Caenorhabditis elegans: one gene and its partners. The protein of the gene in region 1 purifies or fractionates together with the protein of each later gene. This does not show direct contact. Each region holds a gene or a part of one and is shown in the gene's direction. Other genes may lie near its edges.

The links.
Region 2: the proteins of rde-10 (region 1) and cpf-1 purify together in Caenorhabditis elegans (affinity purification with mass spectrometry, with the first as the bait; one large-scale study listed by BioGRID). This does not show direct contact.
Region 3: the proteins of rde-10 (region 1) and F46H5.7 purify together in Caenorhabditis elegans (affinity purification with mass spectrometry, with the first as the bait; one large-scale study listed by BioGRID). This does not show direct contact.
Region 4: the proteins of rde-10 (region 1) and adk-1 purify together in Caenorhabditis elegans (affinity purification with mass spectrometry, with the first as the bait; one large-scale study listed by BioGRID). This does not show direct contact.

What each region holds. Positions count from the first base shown.
Region 1 is NC_003279.8:3,545,294-3,552,666, forward strand, and holds rde-10 (RNA interference defective protein 10), read left to right. Parts: upstream 1-1,777; 5' UTR 1,778-1,834; coding exon 1,835-1,872; intron 1,873-1,918; coding exon 1,919-2,056; intron 2,057-2,115; coding exon 2,116-2,191; intron 2,192-2,245; coding exon 2,246-2,320; intron 2,321-3,088; coding exon 3,089-3,572; intron 3,573-4,306; coding exon 4,307-4,730; intron 4,731-4,775; coding exon 4,776-4,886; intron 4,887-5,855; coding exon 5,856-6,055; intron 6,056-6,127; coding exon 6,128-6,308; intron 6,309-6,351; coding exon 6,352-6,486; intron 6,487-6,534; coding exon 6,535-6,556; 3' UTR 6,557-6,710; downstream 6,711-7,373. Other genes in the region: Poly(U)-binding-splicing factor rnp-6, read right to left, coding at 482-684, 1,071-1,229, 1,284-1,448, 1,506-1,601; Y47G6A.21 (DeHydrogenases, Short chain), read right to left, coding at 6,711-6,869. UniProt on the Caenorhabditis elegans protein: In complex with rde-11, required in the endogenous and exogenous siRNA pathway for biogenesis and accumulation of secondary small interfering RNA (siRNA) intermediates, such as 22G-siRNAs derived from ergo-1 targets.
Region 2 is NC_003280.10:8,599,948-8,604,424, reverse strand, and holds cpf-1 (Cleavage stimulation factor 50 kDa subunit), read left to right. Parts: upstream 1-1,984; 5' UTR 1,985-2,014; coding exon 2,015-2,064; intron 2,065-2,128; coding exon 2,129-2,294; intron 2,295-2,373; coding exon 2,374-2,670; intron 2,671-2,721; coding exon 2,722-2,844; intron 2,845-3,044; coding exon 3,045-3,501; intron 3,502-3,697; coding exon 3,698-3,897; 3' UTR 3,898-3,976; downstream 3,977-4,477. Other genes in the region: suf-1 (Suppressor of forked domain-containing protein), read right to left, coding at 1-197, 244-276, 325-420, 472-564; rpl-26 (Large ribosomal subunit protein uL24), read right to left, coding at 878-1,000, 1,154-1,310, 1,484-1,632; F28C6.5 (Amelotin), read right to left, coding at 3,985-4,130, 4,178-4,467.
Region 3 is NC_003284.9:7,238,045-7,244,889, reverse strand, and holds F46H5.7 (AMPK1_CBM domain-containing protein), read left to right. Parts: upstream 1-1,906; 5' UTR 1,907-2,098; coding exon 2,099-2,132; intron 2,133-2,202; coding exon 2,203-2,341; intron 2,342-2,827; coding exon 2,828-2,901; intron 2,902-2,993; coding exon 2,994-3,086; intron 3,087-3,652; coding exon 3,653-3,869; intron 3,870-3,927; coding exon 3,928-4,089; intron 4,090-4,141; coding exon 4,142-4,261; intron 4,262-4,310; coding exon 4,311-4,532; intron 4,533-4,581; coding exon 4,582-4,803; intron 4,804-5,047; coding exon 5,048-5,065; intron 5,066-5,304; coding exon 5,305-5,385; intron 5,386-5,426; coding exon of another isoform or gene 5,427-5,435; coding exon 5,436-5,595; intron 5,596-5,638; coding exon 5,639-5,727; intron 5,728-5,774; coding exon 5,775-5,880; 3' UTR 5,881-6,224; downstream 6,225-6,845. Other genes in the region: putative arginine kinase F46H5.3, read left to right, coding at 6,228-6,266.
Region 4 is NC_003282.8:11,208,784-11,212,657, reverse strand, and holds adk-1 (Adenosine kinase), read left to right. Parts: upstream 1-1,826; 5' UTR 1,827-1,853; coding exon 1,854-1,928; intron 1,929-2,001; coding exon 2,002-2,318; intron 2,319-2,379; coding exon 2,380-2,485; intron 2,486-2,545; coding exon 2,546-2,872; intron 2,873-2,924; coding exon 2,925-3,128; 3' UTR 3,129-3,349; downstream 3,350-3,874. Other genes in the region: R07H5.9 (Kinesin motor domain-containing protein), read right to left, coding at 3,516-3,705, 3,750-3,817.

The sequences.
Region 1 (7,373 bases):
TAGAACATTTTTTTGAATTTTTTAATCATGATATTCGGTTATTGTGGGACCATAGGCGTGTTTTAAAGCGTGGTCCACCTTTAAATTGTGTTTTTTTTTCAAATTTTGAAATACTTTTCCGAAACAAAAATTATAAATAACTATTAAATTGTCGATTTTTAGGCAAATTTTGAAATTTCCGCCACTTTCGGGTAATCGAATTTTATTCACGGATAAGTGTCTGAAAAATCTGAAAAACTGACAAACCAAGTAAACCGATGTTTTTAGCCCGAAAACGCCAAAATATCGAAAATAACTTTGCGCGGGAATTCAAATTTAATTCGGACGTTTCTTTGATTTTTGAAAATTGAAAAAATAATAAAAAATTTAGAAACTTTTTTAACCAGTTATATTCGGTCTCTACTTTTTTCTGTCATTTAAAGCACCAAATTTTTTAAATGACTTTAAATAAAATAATTAAACTAGTAATTTCTCATTTTACCTGAAATATTTCTTCGCATCCTTCTGAACCATATCAATAATCGGCTGAGCCTGTGGCATATTTTGTGGCAATCTCATCTCCTGGAACATCATCGAATTAACTTTAAGATTACGTCCACCGAGCATCTGACCATTCATCGATTCTTGAGCAAGAAGTGCGGCTTCTGGGACTTCGTATTCAACAAATGCGAACGTTTTGTGGTGCTGAAAATGAAATATTTATTAATTTAAGACTAAAAATATGCTCAATTCGTAATAAAACTTCCGTTTAAAACATCAAATATTTGAAAAAAAAGTGTCACAGCTTTTGGAAATTAATTTTTATTCGATTATCATTTTTTTTATTGCATATTTTTATTTAAGTTGTTCATTTAAGTAAATTTAAAGCCAATAGATGACAAAAAATGACCAAAAATTGGATAGAAATTGAGATAAACTATCAAAATCTGCAATAAAAGATGAAAATCGAATGAAAAATAATTTCCAGCTGCTCTGACACGGAAACTTCTGGTAAAATAAAGGACCTTAGATAAAATTAGCTTAATTCTTTCGGAATTTTAAAATAAAATAAGACTTTTTTAAAAACTCACCCCAGTAGCTGGATCCCAGCTCATATTAATAGATTTAATGGGTCCAAATGGGTCAAAAGCCCTGCGAAGCATATCTTCGCGGATTTCAAATGAGATTGAGCCAACATAGATTCTGGACATAATCGATAAAGCTTGTGAGTACATTTGCTGCCGTTGTTGCTGAAATTTTATTGATTATTACGATAATTTCTACTTTTTAAAAATAAAACTAACATTCTCCTGTTGCTGTTTCTGCTGACGAAGAAGAATCTGCTTAATTGAAATGTCCATCGCATACTTTTTCGCCATCTGAATATCATCCTTCCGCTTTGAACTCAATTTCGATAAACCAAGGCCAATTTTTTGAGCGTCTTTCTTACCTCCAGGTCCTACGAACACCTGAAAATAAAATTTGTTTTAAAGTTTCATTAATTTGAACGAATCTAAAGTATTTACCTCTCCATCTTGCGGAAGAACTGGCATTGGCACTGACACTGCCGGCCGAAATGCCGCCACCGGCCTGTTTTCGATGTCTGCCGAGTTTTCTTCCATTTTAAAATGTCTGAAAATATGAAAAATGATTTAAAAAACACAAAAAACACAAATTTCGAAAAATAATAAGAAAAAAGTGTTGAAAATCCGAAAAAAACACGTTCAATATTCGAAAAGAAATAGTGGGCGGAGTCGATAATTGCAACCCTGGCACGGCATTTTTGCAAGTGGTGCGCACATTTTCAAGGACTTTTGCGGACTTTTGCCAGCGTCTAAAATTGATTTTTATGAATATGTCAAATCACAGATCTAATTTTAGAGATTATCAGAGGTTTGCCTTAAATATTGTCCCAATTAATTTTAAAAAATCTCTTCAGAGAGGGCATTCGAGCCAATAATGCCGGCACCTCCGGAGATGCGGTGCGCCAGAACGGAAATCCGATTTCAGTTGCAAAACATGTCGACGGCAAGAAAAGTGTCTACATGCTATTCCTACGCCAGATAGGACAGAAAAAGTAGGAAAATTTCTGAATATATTTTGCGAAAATGTGATTTTTGATATTTTGATGTTTAGATTTCTGACCGAGCAAGGCCACCGATACAATCAGAATGATCAGGCAGACAAGGATATTATGACAAGATATTATCACGTAAAAAAAATAAAGAAAAATTATTATTTTCAAGCCTAATATGTCGGATTTCAGGGAATGTGCCCTGATTTGAAGCAAAAATTCGAGCGAGAAGTTGCCGAGCACAACGGAAATCGGGGGCTTGTAATTGTAGGTTTTTATTGAAAATTTTACTACACCCTGTGGGGAAATTGCTTTAAAACACGCCTATGGTCCCACAATGACCGAATATCATGATAAAAAAATTCAAAAAAATGTTCTAGATTTTATATGATTTTTTGAAAATTGGAAAAATCACAGTTTTCACCTAATTATTTTTGAATTTCCGCCAATTGGATTTGTTCGGTGGAGCGTGCTTGCATTATTTTCATTAATTAATTTTATTTATTCTCGTTATTTCACTGATTTTCTTCATTTTCTATGTTTTTTCTTCGGAAAATGAAAGAAATAAACAAGAAAAATTAAGAATGATCACTAAAAATTAACTGAAACTTCCTAAATCTGTCAAATATTCTAATTTCAGGCTCTTCGTCGTCAGAACTCAGAATATCACAGTTTTACGCATTTTCAGTTAATTTTTAACAAACATTTCGCATTTTCTTGTTTATTTCTTTCATTTTCCGAAGAAAAAACATAGAAAATGAAGAAAATCAGTCAAATAACGAAAATAAATAAAATTAATAAAAAAAAATAATGCAAGCACGCTCCACCGAAAAAATCCAATTGGCGGAAATTCAAAAATAATTAGGTGAAAACTGTGATTTTTCCAATTTTCAAAAAATCATATAAAATCTAGAAAATTTTTTTGAATTTTTTAATCATGATATTCGGTTATTGTGGGACCATAGGCGTGTTTTAAAGCAATTTCCCCACTGAGCGTAGTCCACCTTTAAAGAAAAACTATGTTTTTTTTTTCAGAAAACAAAGCACCAGAGAGCACAGAGAAACCGTGAGATGCGCCACCGAAATCCAGATGAGTTCCAACAGCTCCGACGTGCACATTTGGAGACACTGAGCCAAACTCCAAGTGTTATAGCGTTGCCAAGAGATATAAATCACGTTCTTCACATCACCGAAGATCTCGACGCGTTTTGTCTTGCAAATCGCAAAAAGGCGAAACGAATAATGACTTCATACATTGCTCAGCGTTCTGATGATCCTGGAAATCCGTTGCTTTGCGAGGACTACACAATGCAGATTGTTTCAGTATTTCCGGTTGCCTACGCCTTCAAACCATCAATCAATAAGCTTTCATCGTATCCTGCAGAGATATCCGTTACAACATTCAATCTTAAGAATGGAATCATTCAGAATGAATCGAGATTCGTCAAATTCGATGCAGCTTGGTTTTATCCAGATGCAGATGACATTGGGCACGAGGAATTGTCTAGAAAAGCAATGGGTAGCAAAAAATTCGAAAAGTTGCAGAAGATTGTTTTAAAAATTGAAGAATGGTGCCAAAAACTTTGCAAAAATTGCCGATAATAAGCAAAAGTTGCCGAAAATTAAATGAAAATTGGCAAAACTTCACAAAAATTGCCGAAATTTGGCTAAAATTACCAGAATTTTGCAATAGTTGACGAAAGTTACTGAAAGTTGTCAAAAATTGCCGAATATTTTCAAAAAGTTCGCAAAAATTTATAAAAGTTGCTGAAAATTGTTTTAAAAATTGGAGAATGGGACAATGGTGCTAAAACTTTGCAAAAATAGCGAAAGTATTAATGAAAATTGGCGAAACTTACCGAATTTTGTCAAAACCTTTGCAGAAGTTGGCTAGAGTTTCCAGAAATTTTGGAAAGTTGTTTGAAACTCCTCAAAAAATGCCAAAATTTTGCAATAGTTGTCGAAAATTGGCGAAACTTTACAAAAATTGCCAAAATTTATAAATTTTGCTGAAAATTGAAGAGAAATTGGGGAATGTTGCCAAAACTTTGTAAAATTTCCCGAAAGTTGTCATAAATTGCCGAAAGTTGGCGAAAGTTTCTACAATTTTCGAAAAGTTGTGGAAAGTTGTTTGAAACTTCTCAAAAATTGTCAAAATTTTGCAATAGTGTCGAAAGTTGTCGAAACTTATCGAATGTTGCCGAAAAATTGCCAAAAAAATGCTATAAATGGTCAGTAGCTTAAAATTTTCAGCCGACGAACTGGGAATTTCGCCCAATGGACCCGCCGATGGCTGTGAACCATATGAAGTTTTCGAGTGGCTTCAACACCTTTTAAAACAGCATCCGAAATCTCCGATTCTATGCGATCGAGCTCAATTCAATTTTGTATATTATGGAATCAAGACTCTGGCCACTTACACTGGAATCAATGCCATCACATTCTTCCAAGAAGTCATCATTCCTAGTATTCTGAGCATTCAGGATTTTACAAGTGTAATACTCGAAAAAGCGCCGACGGATGTCCCCCGTGTCTGGAGAGATGTTGATATTTGTAATCAATTTCAATATCATTTTCTCATTCCCAGAACTGAATTGAACCTATTCTGCAGTTTTCATGAGAATAAACCATCGCCTACGAAATACAATTGCGTCAAGGCTCATAATGCAAGACTATTGTAACATTTTTTGCAGTGATTTTCAAGATAAAACACATTTTACAGAGACAATTTTTTCACTGTAATAAAGGGGAACCGGCTTCAAGGATTCGTGATTTCGCCGCCAGTTCATGAGATTTGCATTCAAGACGGGAGTGACACAAGTTTGCCTCAAACGTACGGAAAAACGAAAATTTTCGATTTTTCGATTATCCGAAAATACAAAAATGTAAAAAATAAGTTCAGAAAATTAACCATAAAAAAGTTTAAATTGATCAGAAAAAAACATAAAAATTTATTCTAAAAAGAAGAAAATACCAAAAATTATAAGCTAATTTTTGACAAATCGAAAAAACTAAAAATTTTCGATATCTCGATTTCAAAAAAAATCGAAAATTTTCGATTTTTCGATTATCCGGAAAATCGGAGAAAAAATCTGAAAATTAACCATAAAAGATGATTTTTTTGAATCTAATTTCGTCTAAATTGGTGAGAAAAAAACATACAAAAAATGTATTCTAAAAATAAGAAAAAAAACCATAATGACCAAAAGTCGGTTTTTTCTAAAATTTTCGTTTTTTTATTTTTCCGATTTTTCGATATTTTTGAGGGAAAATCGAAAAATTGGAAATCGAAAACAGAAATTTTTGATTTTTCGTTTTTTTTTTCAAAAATAGAAAAATCAAAATTTTTTTGATTTTCGATTTTTAAAAAAAAAATCATGAGAAAAAACATAAAAATTTATTCTAAAAAGAAGAAATGTTTTCGAAAAAGAAAATTTTCGATTTTAAATTTTTTCCGAAAAACCTTTTTTTTTTAAATCCAGAAAAATTAACCATAAATTATGATTTTTTAAAAATTTAATTTGGTCTAAATTGATGAGAAAAAACATAAAATTTTATTCTAAAAAGAAGAAAAAATACCAAAATGACCAGAAGTCGATTTTTCAAAAATCGAAAAAATTTATGTTTTTCCATTTTTCGATGTTTTTGAGGGAAAATCAAAAAATCGAACTACGAAATTTTTTCGATTTTTCGTTTTTTTTTTCAAAAATAGTAAAATTAAAATTCACAGAAAAAACAAAACATTCTCTGCAGTTCCCAGAAATTTCGAAAATTAAATGAGCGTCTATAGATATTTTTCCAGAATCTTGGCAAGAACAATATCCCGTAATGACGCCGAAGTCTACGCCGCCAGGCAGAGAGATACCGATGAACAATATGACGTCCATCAAGAAGGTCCATCTAATCATGATCAATACGAATTCGCATCTGAACCACTGGATTTCGAAGAAGATTCTGATGAGGAAAACTACAATGAACAGCTTGATGTTCCTTATTCTTACAGTAAGAATTTTTCTCGAAAATTCTGAATTTTGAAAGTTTGAAAATTAATTTTTTTTTTATTTTTAATTTCAGACGATCACTTCATCAGCTCATCATCTGTTCGTGAGCCAGAGCATCCCAGTGCAAGATCAAGAGATGTTGCTCCAAATGTTCAACAAGAATCTGTTGTGGTTCCGGCTCCAAGGCGATTGTCGCCACAGCGAGCTCCACGCCCGTCACAAAATAGTCCGAATGCTTATTCTGAACGCAAAAGGTTCGTCGTAAATTAAAGAAAATAAATTTTTTTTAATTTTCAGTTTTTCCGCGTTTCCATCCGAAGATCCATCTGAAGATTATGAAACCCCAATAATCAGTCATATCATGAATCGAAACGAAGCGGATCAATATTTCAATATTCTGGATTCGGTGAAACCGGGACAGAAATATAAGATGTAAGTGTATATAATAAAAAATTTTTAATAGTTTTTATATTATTTCAGAATCAAGTTCGACGACTTCTAAACGGAAACCCCTCACACATTCATTTCATGGTATTAAATATAAGCATTCTAAAATCCTAATTGTACTAATAGTATTATACATGATATACTCTGTCTGTCTGCTTGGTACAAATTTACTTCATTCTCAATTTTCAAAACAATAAATCATATATTCTTTATCTCGGATGCATAATTCCTCGACCACCATCAACCTTCAACAGTTGTCCAGTAGTGAATGAGCTCTTCTCAGAGGACAGGAATAGGATAGCTTCAGCTACTTCGGATGTAGTTCCAGGACGGCCGAGTGCGTGGGTCGTCTTGCTTTTCTCGAGGAACTGGAATTTCGTTGAAAGTATTATTACGCCAACACAAACTGCTGAGACTGCGTACTGCGCAACATATTTGACGCGCAAAATATCTCATAGCGCAAAACTATAGTCATTATTTAAATTACTACTGTAGTGTCGATTTACGGGCTCGGTTTTCGACACAAGAGCTACTCGGTAGTTGGCTCCTCCTGGGGCGCGAAGGGGGTGCGACTGGCGCGCGAAAAGAGGTGAAATGCGCCTGGCGCGAGGATAGGGCGTGACTGGAGTGCGGAACAGGCGCGCTCGGATTGTGAAAAGAGTATTCTGAAACTGCCAAAGTGTCTACATAAGATGTATTAATCAATTTCTTGCGAACATATTATTGCTTTGAGACATATTTTCAAACAAAAGTGAATTTTGTTCGTTCTATACTTTAATTGTAAACGTTTTGCAGACATGCTAGTTACTGAAAAACCAAAACTTCAATTTAAATTCTGATATGAGGTTAGAAGAGAACAATATGGTTCATCT
Region 2 (4,477 bases), on another chromosome or scaffold:
TTCTTCAAAAATGCTATGTATTCTGTGAAGATTGAGTAAGCCTGGACATCCATTCCAACTTTTTCTAGTGCGAAATCGTAAGCTTTAGCCATTTCTTCACGATATTGATCCCTCTGTCCTTTCGTTTCGAATACGTAATGAATATAGCATTTCCACAGATCTATGTTGAGAACAGACACAAGACATCTACTGAATAACTGAAAAAGAAAACTATTAAATTTATCAAATACCGGGATAAATTACCTTCTCCACATTTTCGAAATTTTTGGAACGAAGCTGAAAACTTTAATCATTTTTATTTTTCTAATTTCTATTTTGTAATACCTCGTGCTCGATGTAAGCTTTCCAGTACCGTCCGGAGTTAGGAAATTGTTTTACAAGACTTTCGTAAAAATCTCGTTCTTGGTCAATCGGTCGTGACTGAAAAATGAACGGAATAGACGTCGATTCAATTTGTTGTCAAATGTCTACCTGATGTTCTCGGAGCAGTAAATTCCACGCGTCTACGTCGAATGGATTTGTTTCAATCCGACGCTCTGGGTTACGCATGCTCAACCCAGACATCTTCTGAAAATAAATAGCAATACTATCTTGTTCAAATCAAGGATAATTTCATAGAATGTGAAATTGTGCAAACACAGTGCATCAAATTTGACGCGCAATGCAGACCGAAAGTGGAAAATGAGGAAACTCGCCAAAACATCAGATACATTTTCTCAAATGGATAGAAGACCCTTTAAATAGCTTTTTCTGTACTATTACTCTTGTTTACTTATTACTGGAATTTCCAGATAGCATTAAAATATTTTCTTTGAAAATGAATCGAAGCCAAAACAAATGGAAAAGAATCAACAATTTATTTGTAATTAATAACAATTTAGTTGACGGTCTCGTCAGTGTGCTTTCCCTTGAGGATTCCAGTGACGCGGGAACGTCCGGCAGCCTTGCGCTCAACGAGGGCACGACGATCCTTATCGAGCTTCAGCTTGGTGATAGCGACCTGAACATAATTTGGGTTAAAGAACGAACTCGGTCACTTCAAAATATAATAAACTTTTCCTAGTCCGAATGCAACATTAAGAATCATGGAACTCACAAACCTGACAGTTGTGATGAGTCGATGTGCACCGGAACTAGTTTATACAAACCTCACCTTCGAAGGGTGGATTCCGATGTGCACAGTGGATCCGTTAGCCTTCTCGCGGGTGATCTTGTCGATGTGGATAACGAACTTCTTACGGTAGCATCTGAGGACACGTCCAGTGTTTCCCTTATGGCGTCCGCGCATAACGACGACCTCATCATCGGTTCTGAAATCAAAAATTGTTTTAAACTTATGGCTAACAAAGCGAAAATATGTTTCAGCGTCATTGCAAAAAGAGTAACATTCATTTCTCCATATTGTCCAAACCGTACGTGAAAATTTCAACGTACGGGACTACTTAATGGAAACAGTAAAGTTTTTCTATTTAAAAAAACCAACCTGATTGGAATAGCACGGATTCCGTGCTTGGTGCGGAGCTCCTTGGTGAGTGGGGCAGACATGATGCGTCTGCGCTCGTGGGATGGAGCGTTGAAGTGGGCCTTGCGGCTCTTTCCGGAATCGCTGGAGACGAACGGATTGACCTTCATTATTACCTGAAAAAATAAATATTATATTATGTAACAATAATAAAATTACGGTGGTAGAAAGTATAATTCAAATTCGAGAATAAAAAATATTCTCGAATTACAAGGAGAGCACACATGCAGGTTGAAAACTCATTAATGTTAGAGACAATTACATGCTTGAAAATAAAAAATACCGACAAAATTCCTAAAAAAATTTAGGCCAGTGAGAAAAACGTCGAGGAAAATTTAGTTTGAGGCAGCCGACTACGATTTGAGGGGAGATCGCTGCGAGACCCACCGCAGGGGAAACGGCATGCGCCTTTAATATAAGTTTAAATTTTGCAAGGAATTTATTGCGCTTTGAGGATTTTCGAATATTTATTCAAGGAAACATACTTTAATAATGAAGCCAGATATCAAAGATCGTGAATACATGTATCGGCTGATTATTGGGTAAGTTATCTCGCGCTAAACAAGCAAAACTAAAAAAGTTCATACTTTCAAAAACTTATTTCAGGCAGCTTTTCTACGATGGTCATCAACAAATTGCCGTCAACCTCGCAAATACTTTGGGATGTTCTGCTCCAGCTCCGCCGCCTTCAGATAAATTGTTCAGACTGGTCACAATTGCAAAGCAATTTGTAGAGGATCCAGATTACAAAGCCGAAGAAAAATCCTCGCCGGTAAGTTTCATTTTTTACGATTTGGTCACAAAAACGTCACAAAATGCCTGAAACTATCTAATAATTTTGTATTTTAAAGATGCAATTCGAACCCGTCTCTTCGGGCTTGGATCTCGAATACGACGCTGATGTGCAGCCAGTTTCTTCCGAGCCATCGGAGTATGAGACCATCTACTTGACGGTTCACAAAGCTCCTTGTAGAGCAGCAGCGTTCAATTCGGATGGTTCCTTAGTGGCAACAGGTTCAGCAGATTGCTCGATCAAAATTATGGATGTTGAGAGAATTCTTGCCCGCGAGAAAGAGCACAGAGAAATGAACGAAAATGGTCCAGATGCGCACCATCCGGTGATAAGAACTCTGTATGATCATGTTGATGTTAGTTTTTCGAAAAAAAAAACGTTCATAATATCTAAGTTGCATTTTTAGGACGTTAATACTGTGATCTTCCATCCAAGAGACTCAATTCTTATCTCCGGATCGAATGATAAGACTGTGAAGTTATTTGATTTCTCAAAAACTGCTGTTAAAAAGGCGATGAAAACGTTGTCGGTAAGTTCTCTGATTTGGAAGAAAACATTTCTTAGAAGTTTATAAAGCCACAATGTTGAGAATAAGTACATACAAAGTAAAAGATAAAGTTTATTTGGAAATTATTTAAAAGAATATACGAATTTCGAGAAATTCCTAAAAATTATTGATATCATAACAATATAAATAACTGAAGCATAAATATTAAAAATAAATTACAGGAAGTATACCCAGTGCGTGCACTCTCGTGTCACCCAGGTGGTGAATTTCTTCTTGTTGCAACGGATCATCCTACTGTTCGTCTCTACAACATTGAAACAGCTCAGGCATATGCTTCAGCGAATCCAGATGATCAACATACTGAATCTGTAACAGATGTTCATTATTCTGAAAATGCACGGCTCTATGTAACGGCTTCAAAGGATGGGCACGTAAAGATATGGGATGGTGTGTCAAACAGATGTGTAGAGACATTCAAAAGAGCTCACGATGGTTCATCAATCTGCTCAGCCAAATTTACAAAGAATGGAAAATACATATTAACAAGTGGAATGGATAGTATTGTGAAACTATGGGAACTGAGTACTAATCGGTGTTTGATTGTCTATACGGGAGCAGGAGCTACTGGAGCACAGGATTTTGCCACAAACGCTTCATTTAACCACAATGAAGATTACGGTTAGTTCTTAACTGTTTTCGTTAATAACGCGTCGAAGAGTGTTTCTAAAAAAATCTCGAGAATCGATTATATTTTTCTCTGGCTTTCAAAAAATATTATTGGAACAAATTGCAAATTCTGGAGATTTTTTTTTGCTTTTCGAGAGCGAAGTAAGAATATCATAATGTAATAAAAACTGTTTAATAAAAATTTCAGTGTTATTCCCAGACGAGAAGAGTGGAAGCATGTGCTCGTGGGATGCTCGCAATTCCGACAGAAAGCGACTTCTTGCTCTAGGACACACATCAGCGTGCCGAACTTTCGTTCATTCCCCATCCATGCCAGCATTCATGACAGGAAGTGACGATCATCGTGCTCGATTCTGGTATAGAAAACCGGCAACAAATGAACATTGATCTCCAAATAATCTCTGGTTTATTGAAAATTCGTTTATTTACATTTTTGTTAATATTATTGGAAATAAATTATTTAAATAAAAGTATTTAGAACCTCTCCATGAGAATTCGTCGGGACCGGAATGGGTTCTTCGGCCGGTCGTTCGCACCAATTGATATCTTGGCTGCTTCAAATGGCTGCATGGGTTTCTCTCTCGCTTCATCGATTATTACTGAGCGTTGTGGTTCATCTTCTGAAAATTATTCAACTTTAAGTATTTAGAAAAATAAAATTGAAAACCTTGAACCATATTCTTTCCCTGTGAGTCCTCTCCTTCTATCTCTGATGTACTCACTGCCGTTGGCCAATGTACAGTATCCAACTGCTCATTGGTTTCAACAACGTCAGCAAATGGATTCTCAGGTTTCTTTGTCTCCAAAGCCTTTTTCTTTGCCGCTTCTTCTGCAGCCAGTTCACTCGGAAGAATGAGCTCTGGCGGGAATAGTGGTTCTCCGTGAAGAGCTTCTTCATCTAATGGAACGGCTACGACGTCTTGTGGCTCTGGGACATGAAGAGGTAGAGGACGAGCTCTGAAATTTC
Region 3 (6,845 bases), on another chromosome or scaffold:
TAATCAAATAATCCGACATGTTCGCTGATACCCCGAACACCTCAAAATTGTGTTTGTACTTCTCGAACATTCTCTAACAAACACCCCCATAATTTTTTTTCGAAAAGAAAAATGGGAGGAACGAAAAGTTGAACATGTGGTTATGAATCATTCAGTTGCACTCCTAAGTTGCAGCTTCAAGAGCAACTAAGTCTTATTCCTTAGCTTTCAGTGTTTGAAGCAAAACGTAGTATTTCTGTTTTTTGAAGTAAACTAAAGCTGTATTGATTTATTGCTCCAAAAAATGGCTTTAGTTCAATTTTAATAAGAACTATCTTGACTAACTTATTTATCCATTCTTTGCACTGCTCTGTTGCAAACTTCACATTAATAACAGACTCATTAATTCTGATACGTGTTTTTGGTGAGAACGTGAAAAACGCGGGAACACATGACGGGACCTTGCAAGTTGCGGTATCACTAGCTCTTTTCTCTTCCTCAAAGATTTCTCTTTTTTGCTCTCTTTCCGCAAAAATTGTTTTCTTATCAGTCGCTGATTCTTCTTTCGTTTTACTTTACACCCGAAAAAACGCAAAAGAAGCAACGAAAAGAACGCGATTTTTCGAGTTTTTAGCTCAACGTTTTTTGAAATCCGAACCTCCCAAATGTTGTATTCAAAGTCTTTTTTTTCTTTCGTACTTTTCTTTGCATTAGTTGTTGCCAGATCTTCTATTTTTATCTTAAGAGTCAAAAATCTTTGATTGATACGAGTAGGGCAGAAAAGACACGAAGAGTGGAAAATGTTCACTAGTTGCCTCATCCATTATCAGAGTCGGTCCAGTCTTTGTTTACTGCTGCGATCCCTTCTAACACCTGATTGTTCCCTCTACCAGTGACCTTTTTTTGACAATTCTTTTGTCTGTGTGATTGAATCGCATTGCACTTCCAAATTAGAACACACAAAACGCCAAGGGGGAGACGAATCATTTGTTGCAAAACCAACTTGTGTCCATTTCTGCATCTTGATCGGAAACCACAATCGTTCGAAGAATTTTGCTTTCAGTTGATTGTTTTTTTGCGTTGCTTCTTCCAAACGCCCACTTTTATATCTATCAATCAAATCGTTCAATCTAAAGTTTTATTATCATCAGTAGTCGGATTTTTTCCCGCTTTGTTTTCGGCAATCTTTGGCGGTTGTCTTGGAAATGCCTGCGCACAAAAAAATTTACTTGTGATGAAGATTGGGTGAGGAAACTTTATTTAGAATATATGAAGTGTTTTGATAGATTGAGGAATATCTGTGTTGAGGAGTTATTTCATTAAAACAAAATTGATGATTCAAATGGTTATCATAGAAACATTCAAATTGAAACATCATTCATTTTTTAAATTTCTCACAGTAAAATTCACCATTAATACGGTTTCCGACTGCCTAACATTCTGCAACAATTCCCTGAAAACAGAACGAATTGTCGATTTTTAATAACTGATTTTTGTTTATTTTTATTTAATTTTTATAACCCCTCCGCAAACTGTCAAAATTTATCACCAAAGAATAAAGTCGATTTTCAAAATTATATAGGGCTATTCCGTCATATTCAAAATGACCTTCTTATTTTTCTTCTCAGTGTTTTTTCCTCATTTTCCCTCCTGGGCGCTCGACCTCTGACACTCACAACGATCGCGCGCGCGCCCCGTCGCCTTCACTCCTTTTCTTCCTCGTCGCCTCACAGTTCCGTCTCACTCCAAAGGGTGCCTCCTGCAACAAGCACGAAATTTTAGCATTCATTCGCGGTGTTGGCGCTCGGCGGCCTGATCGCTCAACATGGCGGGCTTGGACACGTAGATGTATGTGAGAATCAATTTTATTTCCGTTTTTCTCTCTTTCTATCAATATCGTATTTGGCCCGCCGCCCCCCTTCACCTCGTTTCTCTTCTTGATCGACTTCTCTCGTTCCTCGTCTCCTGTTATTTCAATTTCAACATTATTTCTACACCCACACTCTCCATACCGAGTGTCTTCTCTCTTTTTGTTATCATTGCCATCAAGCCAAACGAACTCTTCAATCTGATATTTGAACAACTGATCTGATCGCTATTTCTGCTCTTTTCAGGGGGAATGGCGGATGTTGCTACCAAAATCCCAGATGCAAGTAGGTTCACCACTGATGTTGATATTACACGTTGTAGGGAATACCACTTTCAACAAATTTTTTGTTTCAGACTGGGTGCGTCTCGAAATTGAGCCAGTTCAAGTGAGCCATGATCAGGACGCCACTCTAAACTTTGCCACCGTCCAATCAGTGGTCCCAGGAGCACATGGACTCTACTACAGAGATGATGGAGAGAGAAAAGCTCTCCTGTAAGTGATGTAGTCCTTGCAAAGTGTCACTTCCGATACCCGTCATTTTAAACGGTTCACTGGGTTACCAATTAGGAGAAACCGCCACCTGCCGTAGTCAATTTAGTCATTATATTCTCGACCGTTTGTTCTCAGATCAACACAAAAGAATTGCGCGCGCCATCGTTCCATCAAAATGAAAAATGACTGTGTATATATGTCTTATCAAAGTTTACAATTCTTTTTAACCCTAACCCTAACACCAGGTGAAACGTGAATTGTCTAATTCAAAGTGATAGGTCAACGTAAACAATTTTCCCAAAAATCAGTTGATAATCCGAAACCGGTTTAGAACATGCATGTACATGTTTACAAATAGACAATCCGCGCAGAAATATGATTATATTAGAACAACATTTGCTGCTTTCCCATTGTCGATTAGCATTATCCAAATCCAAAGTTCCAGTCAGTCAGTCAACAAAACGTTTAACATTTTTCTATTTCAAGGTTCGACAACAACACCGGCAAGGTGTACCCACCTCCAAACGGATGGGATTCAGTGCCGATTTTTATCCATTTAGGTGAGAGACGACTTGTCGATACGAGAGAAAACATTAATTGGAAAACAAGAACCATAAATTTGCGACGGTGTCTAAGTTTTTCTTTCTTGCAGCACACGGATCACGCCACGGAACCCATTTTGCCGACTATTCGAAGGCCAATGACGCCTTTGAAAAGAACATTTCAGCTGTGCAGAAGCTTTTCGGTAATTGGTTCTATTTGGTTTACGTGGAATTTGGGGTTAAAAAGACCTATATTCGCAAAATCGTTTAGGAATGAGTATCATGCATGGGGCAAATCCAAACATGAAGCCCATTTCAAAAAAAAAAACGAATTTTCCGTTAACAGTGAAAATTTTCTTTATTGCCCCAATAGTTGCCACTATTTTCCAGAGCTGGCAATTTAAAATGGATTACTGTATAAAATTTGTTTAATGTTCTACCAATTCAAAATATTGGTTTTAATATTCTTGAAATTTTGACATATTTGACTGAGTAACATAAAAATCTGATCATCAAGCCAAAGTAGTATTTCGTGTTTTTTTAAGTGCATAGCTTTGTAACAGTTTTGAAGTACCAGCTAATTTTTTTCCTGCTCAATCAAAACACGATCGCAGCTGTGTAAACTGTGAAATCTCCAAATGCTTCAAAAGCGATCTGACATTTTTTGTCCAATTCAAACTTGTAAACATGTTGTCGGTCTCCGAGTGGTACATTTGTGACAAATTTGACCGGCGAAATTGAAACAAACAGAGAATTTGCATTATTTTAGCTGCCGCGGGACTTGGTGGAAGGTCACAAAAGGTGTATGCAGCTGGAAAGACCCGTGCTCGTAGTACTTCAAAGAAAAATCAGCCAAGAAGCCAGTTTGATGCTCAGCCTGAAAATGTGAATATCAGCGAGGAGAGCGAGGGAAGAGACTCCGAAAAGGAAAAGAACGACCGACAGCTGGAAAAGCTGAGAAACCGAAATGATGAGCTGAAAATTAGGTAATAACCCTAATTTCTCAATATGTTTAAATTTTTTTTTAATTTTTCAACTTAACAGAGTGAAAGAATACAAATCCGACTTGTCAGCCGCTCAACTTAAAGTCAAAAATCTTGAGAAAAAGTTGGAATCCGCCCAATCGGCTGATTCTGAAGAGAAATTCGTTCGAATTGATTCGGAAATCGACGAGAAACGATCCCAGGATCACGATGAAGAAATCAAGTATGATAATCAAAATGCACATTTCACGTTATTATTTAATTAGTTCTTTCAGCAACTTGCACAATGTCATTGAAGAGCTTCGAAACAAGTTGGCCACTGTTGAATCGAAAAATAAGGATCTTGAGACCAAATTCTCCGAGAATCAAGATTATTTGAAGAACGCAAAAGACAAGTAAAACATTTAAAAGTTCAAGAGTTAATCGGAAAAAAAATTATTTTAGGGTAACATTCTTAGAGAATCAACTCAACTCCGACGCTCATGAAGAAGTGAAGAGTACCGCCGTCAGAGCACTAGAGGTTAAACTCGGCTTGGCCAACAATTCAATTCGTCAAGCTGAGGCTGAGAAGCAACAGCTCCAGGAGGCTAACTGGTACGCGAACGAACGTGTCGGCAAGTTGGAACAGGAGAACGGATATTTGAAGGGAATCACTGAACAATTGAAGTAAGGCATTGAAATGACAAGCAATTTTTAATTTAGGGTTTTCTTTCAGGGCCAGAGCAGACACCTCACACGCTGAAAAAATGCTGAAGGACAGCGAGAAGCGTGTCTGGGAGATCAACGAAGAGAAGAGCAAGCTGGAGTGGCGTCTCGGTGAGCTCTCCCAATGGTGGAACGATGCAAAGTGGAAGGTCGGCGAGTTGGAATCCTCTGTTGCCCTACAGAGAAATTTGCTTGACACGGCAAACTCGAAGATTCAAAGCCTTAATGATCAGTGAGTTTTCTTTGGAGTTGGGGTCAGAGCAATACGAGATTGAATGTTTCATGAATTTAAAATATCAAAAACGGCGCTTGTAAATCATTTCATTACATAAAAATAAAAACGAAAAATTGCATGAACATCTTTGATCACTTTCTAGAATTACCCAAAAAAGGACTTTATAAAAATCAAAAACTGAATAAATTTTCAAAATAACAGATAGGAAACTTTAAAGAATTTTTTCATATTTCATTTTTAGGTTAATACAGGAAGTGAGGTAAGGAATACAGATTTTATTGAACTACTTGTAACTTAACGTCTGGAAAGCAATGCACTTTATATTTTTTTTTCTGAAATTTGCGGAGTAGTTGAATTGAAAACAATACTAACTATGTTTTGTTTTTCTTATTTAATTTTTAAAAATTGAAACGAGTGTACAGTGTATTTGACGGTGTGAATATAGTGTTCCTCATCCAAAGCAATATTTCATTCGAAATCGAAATTCCAATAATTTAGGAGTCACTCCAGCACCATGACCATTCCCACCGACGGATTCACCATTAGCCAAAGCAACCAAGGAACTTGGAACCTTGCCAAGTAAGTTATACCAGTGGTTCTCTTGATATCACTATTCCAAGTATTTGCAGCGGAAGTAACCAGCCATGTTTCACCGGAGCCATCCCATCCATCCCACTTGTCTCAGCCCTGCCATTCGCCGGAGCCAATCCATTCATTTTTGGGGGAGCTAACGAAGGAAGAAATGTAACGTTGACCATTTCGAACACAGAGCAGGAAGTTTACTTGACGGTAAGTTTTTTTTTGCCAAATAGGTCTTCATTTGATTTTTCAGGGAAGTTTTATCAACTGGAAATGCACATTGAAATGCGAGAAACTGGTTAGCGGCAAGAAAGGAGTCACGGTCAATTTGACGCGTGGAAGGTAACAACATTCAAATTCAAAACACAAATTTCAAGTAATAATTTTAGACACGAGTTCCGATTCATGATCAATGGCGAATGGGCGACGTCGAGCGACTATCAACAGGTGCCAAACGGTTTGGGCGGACAGAATAACATTATTTTTGTCGAATAATAATTATTCCCTTGATCACTTAAATTGAATTATTTTTTCTTACCTGTCAACTTTGTTTCCATTTACTTCTCCTCATTTTTTGTATCTTTATTTCTTGTTTGTATTACATACCACTCCATTCAAACTTATGCAGTTAACCACTCTATTCACTAGATTGTGTTTAGAAAATTGTGAAGATTCTGAATTTTTTCGGGACTTTTGGCATTGCCATGATGTGAATGAATATTTTCGGTTAATATTAATTCAGATTTCAAATAACTTTTGTTCAATATGTAAAGTTTTTTTACTTAATTTTTAATAATTGGTTGTTTTTTCTCAATTTTCCGAATTAAATTTTTCAATAGAAGATGTTACATCGATGCTCGAGAGTATTGTCACAATTTTTGGTAGGTACTTTGCAGTGGTTTTGTTTCACGTTGACAACTACCCTCAATACATAATATGGCGTTTTATGAAAAAATTATAAAGAAGTTAACATATACTTTCGGGCACAATTTTTGCAGTACTCTAACTATGTACTTGATTGAAATCTCAGCAATCAAGTAAGGAGCAAATAATTCAATTAATAAGTTCCATCCTCTTTTATTTAAAATAGTGTTTTTGCGCATTAATTGATTAACTTTAGAAAAAAATCAACAAACAAACAAATTTGGAAAATGTAAAAGTTTGTTGAAGATCTAATTTTTTCCAAGATAAATTAATTAATTTACAGAAAAGTTTTTTGTCCTATATCTTTTATTTAAATGTTTTTTTTTTCAAAAAGTTAAAATCAAAATATTCAAAAATATTATGAAAATGTGCTATTCAAACTGACGTCCTACACGTTTTCAAAAATTTCAAACTTTAAAACACATTTCCATATTCACCACTAGAAAAATATATATTTTTTTAAAGTAATCAGGTGTTAGTACTTGGAGTCTAAAATTTGCAAAATTGAAAGACTTGAGATAAAAATGAAAATGACG
Region 4 (3,874 bases), on another chromosome or scaffold:
TCCGTTTCAAAGAAAAAAATTTAAATAGTTTGGACCTACAAATATGCTTGAAATAACTCAAAAATACGCATTTTTGGCCAATTTTGGCAATTTACTAATGTGCGGCCATGTTAGACTACTTGGAGTTTATTGAGACTAAATCTCCAGTGGCAATATTAAATCTGTAACACGTTTTTTCATTTAATTGAAATATGCAAGTTCTTCAAAACGTAGGTTTTAAAAGTATTTATTTACAATAAGTAAAAAGATTTAAATGTTTAATTTTCATAGAAAATAATGCTCTATAACGGCTATCTATTATATATATAGTGAATAGTGCAGTGAAGGAGAATATGAAAATTCACCTATTAGCTGAGTATCAACTCACAACGTGGGTACGAAAAAAACTTTGTAGTTTTTACTTTTCGGAGTATATAGGTAATTGTTTAACTACTGCCAATAAATATGAGTACAACTTCTATATTACTCCACATAGAAACCCCAATAGATCATTAATTGATCGACTATCAACTTTCAATCAGGCCATTTTCGAAAATTTTTCTCATTTTGAGAACTTATGTGCAGGAGACACCTTCTGTTCATAGAACACAATGGAAATCAATCGGTTTTTTCATAACAGTTGCCGTTGTAGTTTCTTCTCTTTTTTCTATCTTTTTTGCAACTTCCACATGAAAATTGCATTACGCACTGTGTCTGTTTATTCAGGCTTAGTTTCAATTTTAAACTGTTTGCAATAGACTTTAATGTAATTGCTAGGTTTAAAAGCCATTGACAACTAAAATTGTTTTCTAAATTGAACATAACTTGTAAATTGTCTCGTTCAAACCACCACCGCAAGTTAGCCAACTTTTCTTGTTCTGAGGCTAGATGGCATATCGGTAGATACTATCAGTGTCACAATTTGCCGGTCAAAAAACCGATAACGAAATAGCGGAGATCTTTTAGAAACTGCAGACAGACTGGGGAGTAATGGACGATAAAATAGAAGATAGGCTAGTTGGAAGGCGCATTTCTCATCAGAATCGTGTACTTTGTGTGTAACTCATTCTCATTTTTGTCCAAGTTCTAATAAGTTATCTTATTACATTTGAATTTCCACGCCTGATCGTTCACTTTTCTGGAAACTCATCGCTCCCACTTTCGAAAATCGTATTTTTACTATGAATTTTTCAAGTTCTACGATTTTAAAGGGAGGAGCATTTATGCGGATTGGTCTCGCCACGCGCCAGCCATTGATTGAGAAAAATATATCAATAGACGGCTCTTGGCGAGACCATTCCGCATAACTGCTTCCCACTTTAAAATCGTAGAATTGGAAAAGAAATACACAGTATTCATCAAACAATCAGCCATTATTAATATATTATTCAAAATATTATTCAAAATAGCATTCACTAATTTGTGTTTGAAGGAGGTACTTCCACATTTAGAAACTTGCAAATTTTATTCTTGGTTTTTTTAAACGTTCATGTTTTTTAAGATAGCAACGGTGTTTTAAAAACTTTCCGCTTCTGTCAGCAAAGATTTATGATCGATAAAATCTTAAAACACGTTGCAACGACACTCCGATATCCCATGCGATCGTTGTTTATCAAAAATGTCTTTCGGCCGGAATTTCAAATTACAACGTGGATTTCGTGGAAATGTATTGTCCTAAAACACAAAATATCTTGGCTTTACAGCGTTATTCGTGTTCAAAAAAGCACGAAAACGGTTTTTTCGCACTCTTTCTTTGCCAATCTTCTTATTTGTTTTCTCTTATGTCTATTTACTCGTTCAAAACTCGCCTTTTTCTCACTTTTCATTTTCTAATTGTCTATCTGCAGGTAATCCCATCTCCTCACGTCACGGAAATGTCTCCTCTGCCAGAAAACACCCTCATCGGAATGTGCAATCCATTGTTGGACATTCAAACCACCGTTGAAAAGGTAAGTTTTTGATTTCTCTAGAAATCTAGAAGCACATTCAAAAATATTTCATTTTAATTGCTGAAATCTACAGGCATTCCTTGACAAATGGGGACTCAAAGAAAACGACGCCATTCTTTGCGACGACAAGCACAATGACATGTTCACCGAGCTTACCAGAGATTTCAAAGTCGAGTACATTCCAGGAGGAGCCGCACAGAATTCGCTCCGTGTTGCTCAATGGATTTTGAACGCACCAAACCGAACAGTTTTCTTTGGAGCTGTTGGTAAAGATCAGTACGGAGATCTTTTGGCATCGAAAGCCAAAGAAGCTGGAGTGAATGTGCATTATCAGATCAACGAGACAGTTAAGACCGGTACCTGCGCAGCCCTCATCAACGGAACTCATAGGTAAGCGGATCATTGTTTGACGGACAGAAAAATCATCGTTGCCGTGTTGAAATGATTTCAGATCACTCTGTGCTCATTTGGCTGCTGCTAACACCTTCACTCAAGATCATCTCCAGAAGGAGGAGAATCAGAAGATCATCGAGCAGGCCAAATATTTCTATGTCACTGTAAGTTATCGAATTGATTTACAAATAAGCACAAAAGTATTCTCAATGTAAAATTTTCAGGGATTCTTCATCACTGTCTGCCCACCAGCTATTCTCCAACTCGCAAGCCACTCTGCCGAATTCAACAAGACTTTCACCCTTAACCTCTCCGCCCCGTTCATCTCCCAATTTTTCTTCGATAAGCTCTCGGAAATCATTCCATTGGTCGATGTTCTTTTCGGAAACGAAGACGAAGCTGCTGCCTTTGCTAAAGCCAATGGATGGGAGACCACCTGTGTCAAGGAGATCGCTTTGAAGGCTGCTGCACTTCCAAAGAAATCTACTAAGCCAAGACTCGTTGTTTTCACTCAAGGACCAGAGCCAGTCATCGTCGTGGAAGGAGATAAGGTGAGAGTTTTTGATAATTTTTGAATTTATTGTTTTCAATTTTAATCTACAGGTCACCGAATTCCCAGTAACTCGTCTTCCAAAGGAAGAAATCGTCGATACCAACGGTGCCGGAGACGCTTTTGTCGGAGGTTTCCTTTCTCAATTCATCCAAGGAAAGGGAGTCGAAGCTTCAGTCACCTGTGGATCTTATGCTGCTCAAGAAATCATCAAGAAGCACGGATGCACAGTGCCATCTGTTTGCAAGTACCATTAAACTGATAAAATAATCTGTGATCCCAACTTTCTCTGCTTTCAATTTCCCAGTCCCCTGGTTTATAGTATATCAAATTGTTCTTTGTTTTGCTCCCCATTCCCCGTCCTCGAGCATCCCTATTATTCGAAATTTTTCTTTTGGTGTTGTTTTTTTTGTCAAATGTTCCCAAAATGTGCCTTATAATTCATTTATCAGGTGTTTTAATAAAATGGCAAAGTTTTATTCTTCATCCATGTCGATTTGAATTGGAATCTTCTTCCCCTTTTCGACAAAGCCAATCAGATCCAGAACCAGAACGACACTGCCACGGCTGAAATAAAGTTTGTTGCATATTTATCAGGACTAGAGGAATATGATTACTTACAGTTTTGGTAAATTGTAAAACTGTTAGTGATCAACGTCACTTTTCCGAACACGTCGAAGTTTCTGTACGCCGTTCTTATCAAGGAAAGCAAAAAGAACATTAGTTGATTTGATCAGTTGTTCCGCTGGTAGACCTTCGTAGTTCTCATGAAGGACATTGATTAGAATGCTCTTCACATGAGCAGACAATACACTGTCAATGAAAGCAATCGGTCTGGAACTTACTTATCAATTGCTCATTCTGAAAACGAATCAAACCTGAGTTTATCTCGGATGATTGGTCTCTCGATGACAACTACTTTGACATTTACACATCCGTTTTCATCCTGAAATTTAAATATGATTCTTTGTTCTATCTCAAATAGTAAAGAAATATTTCCAAC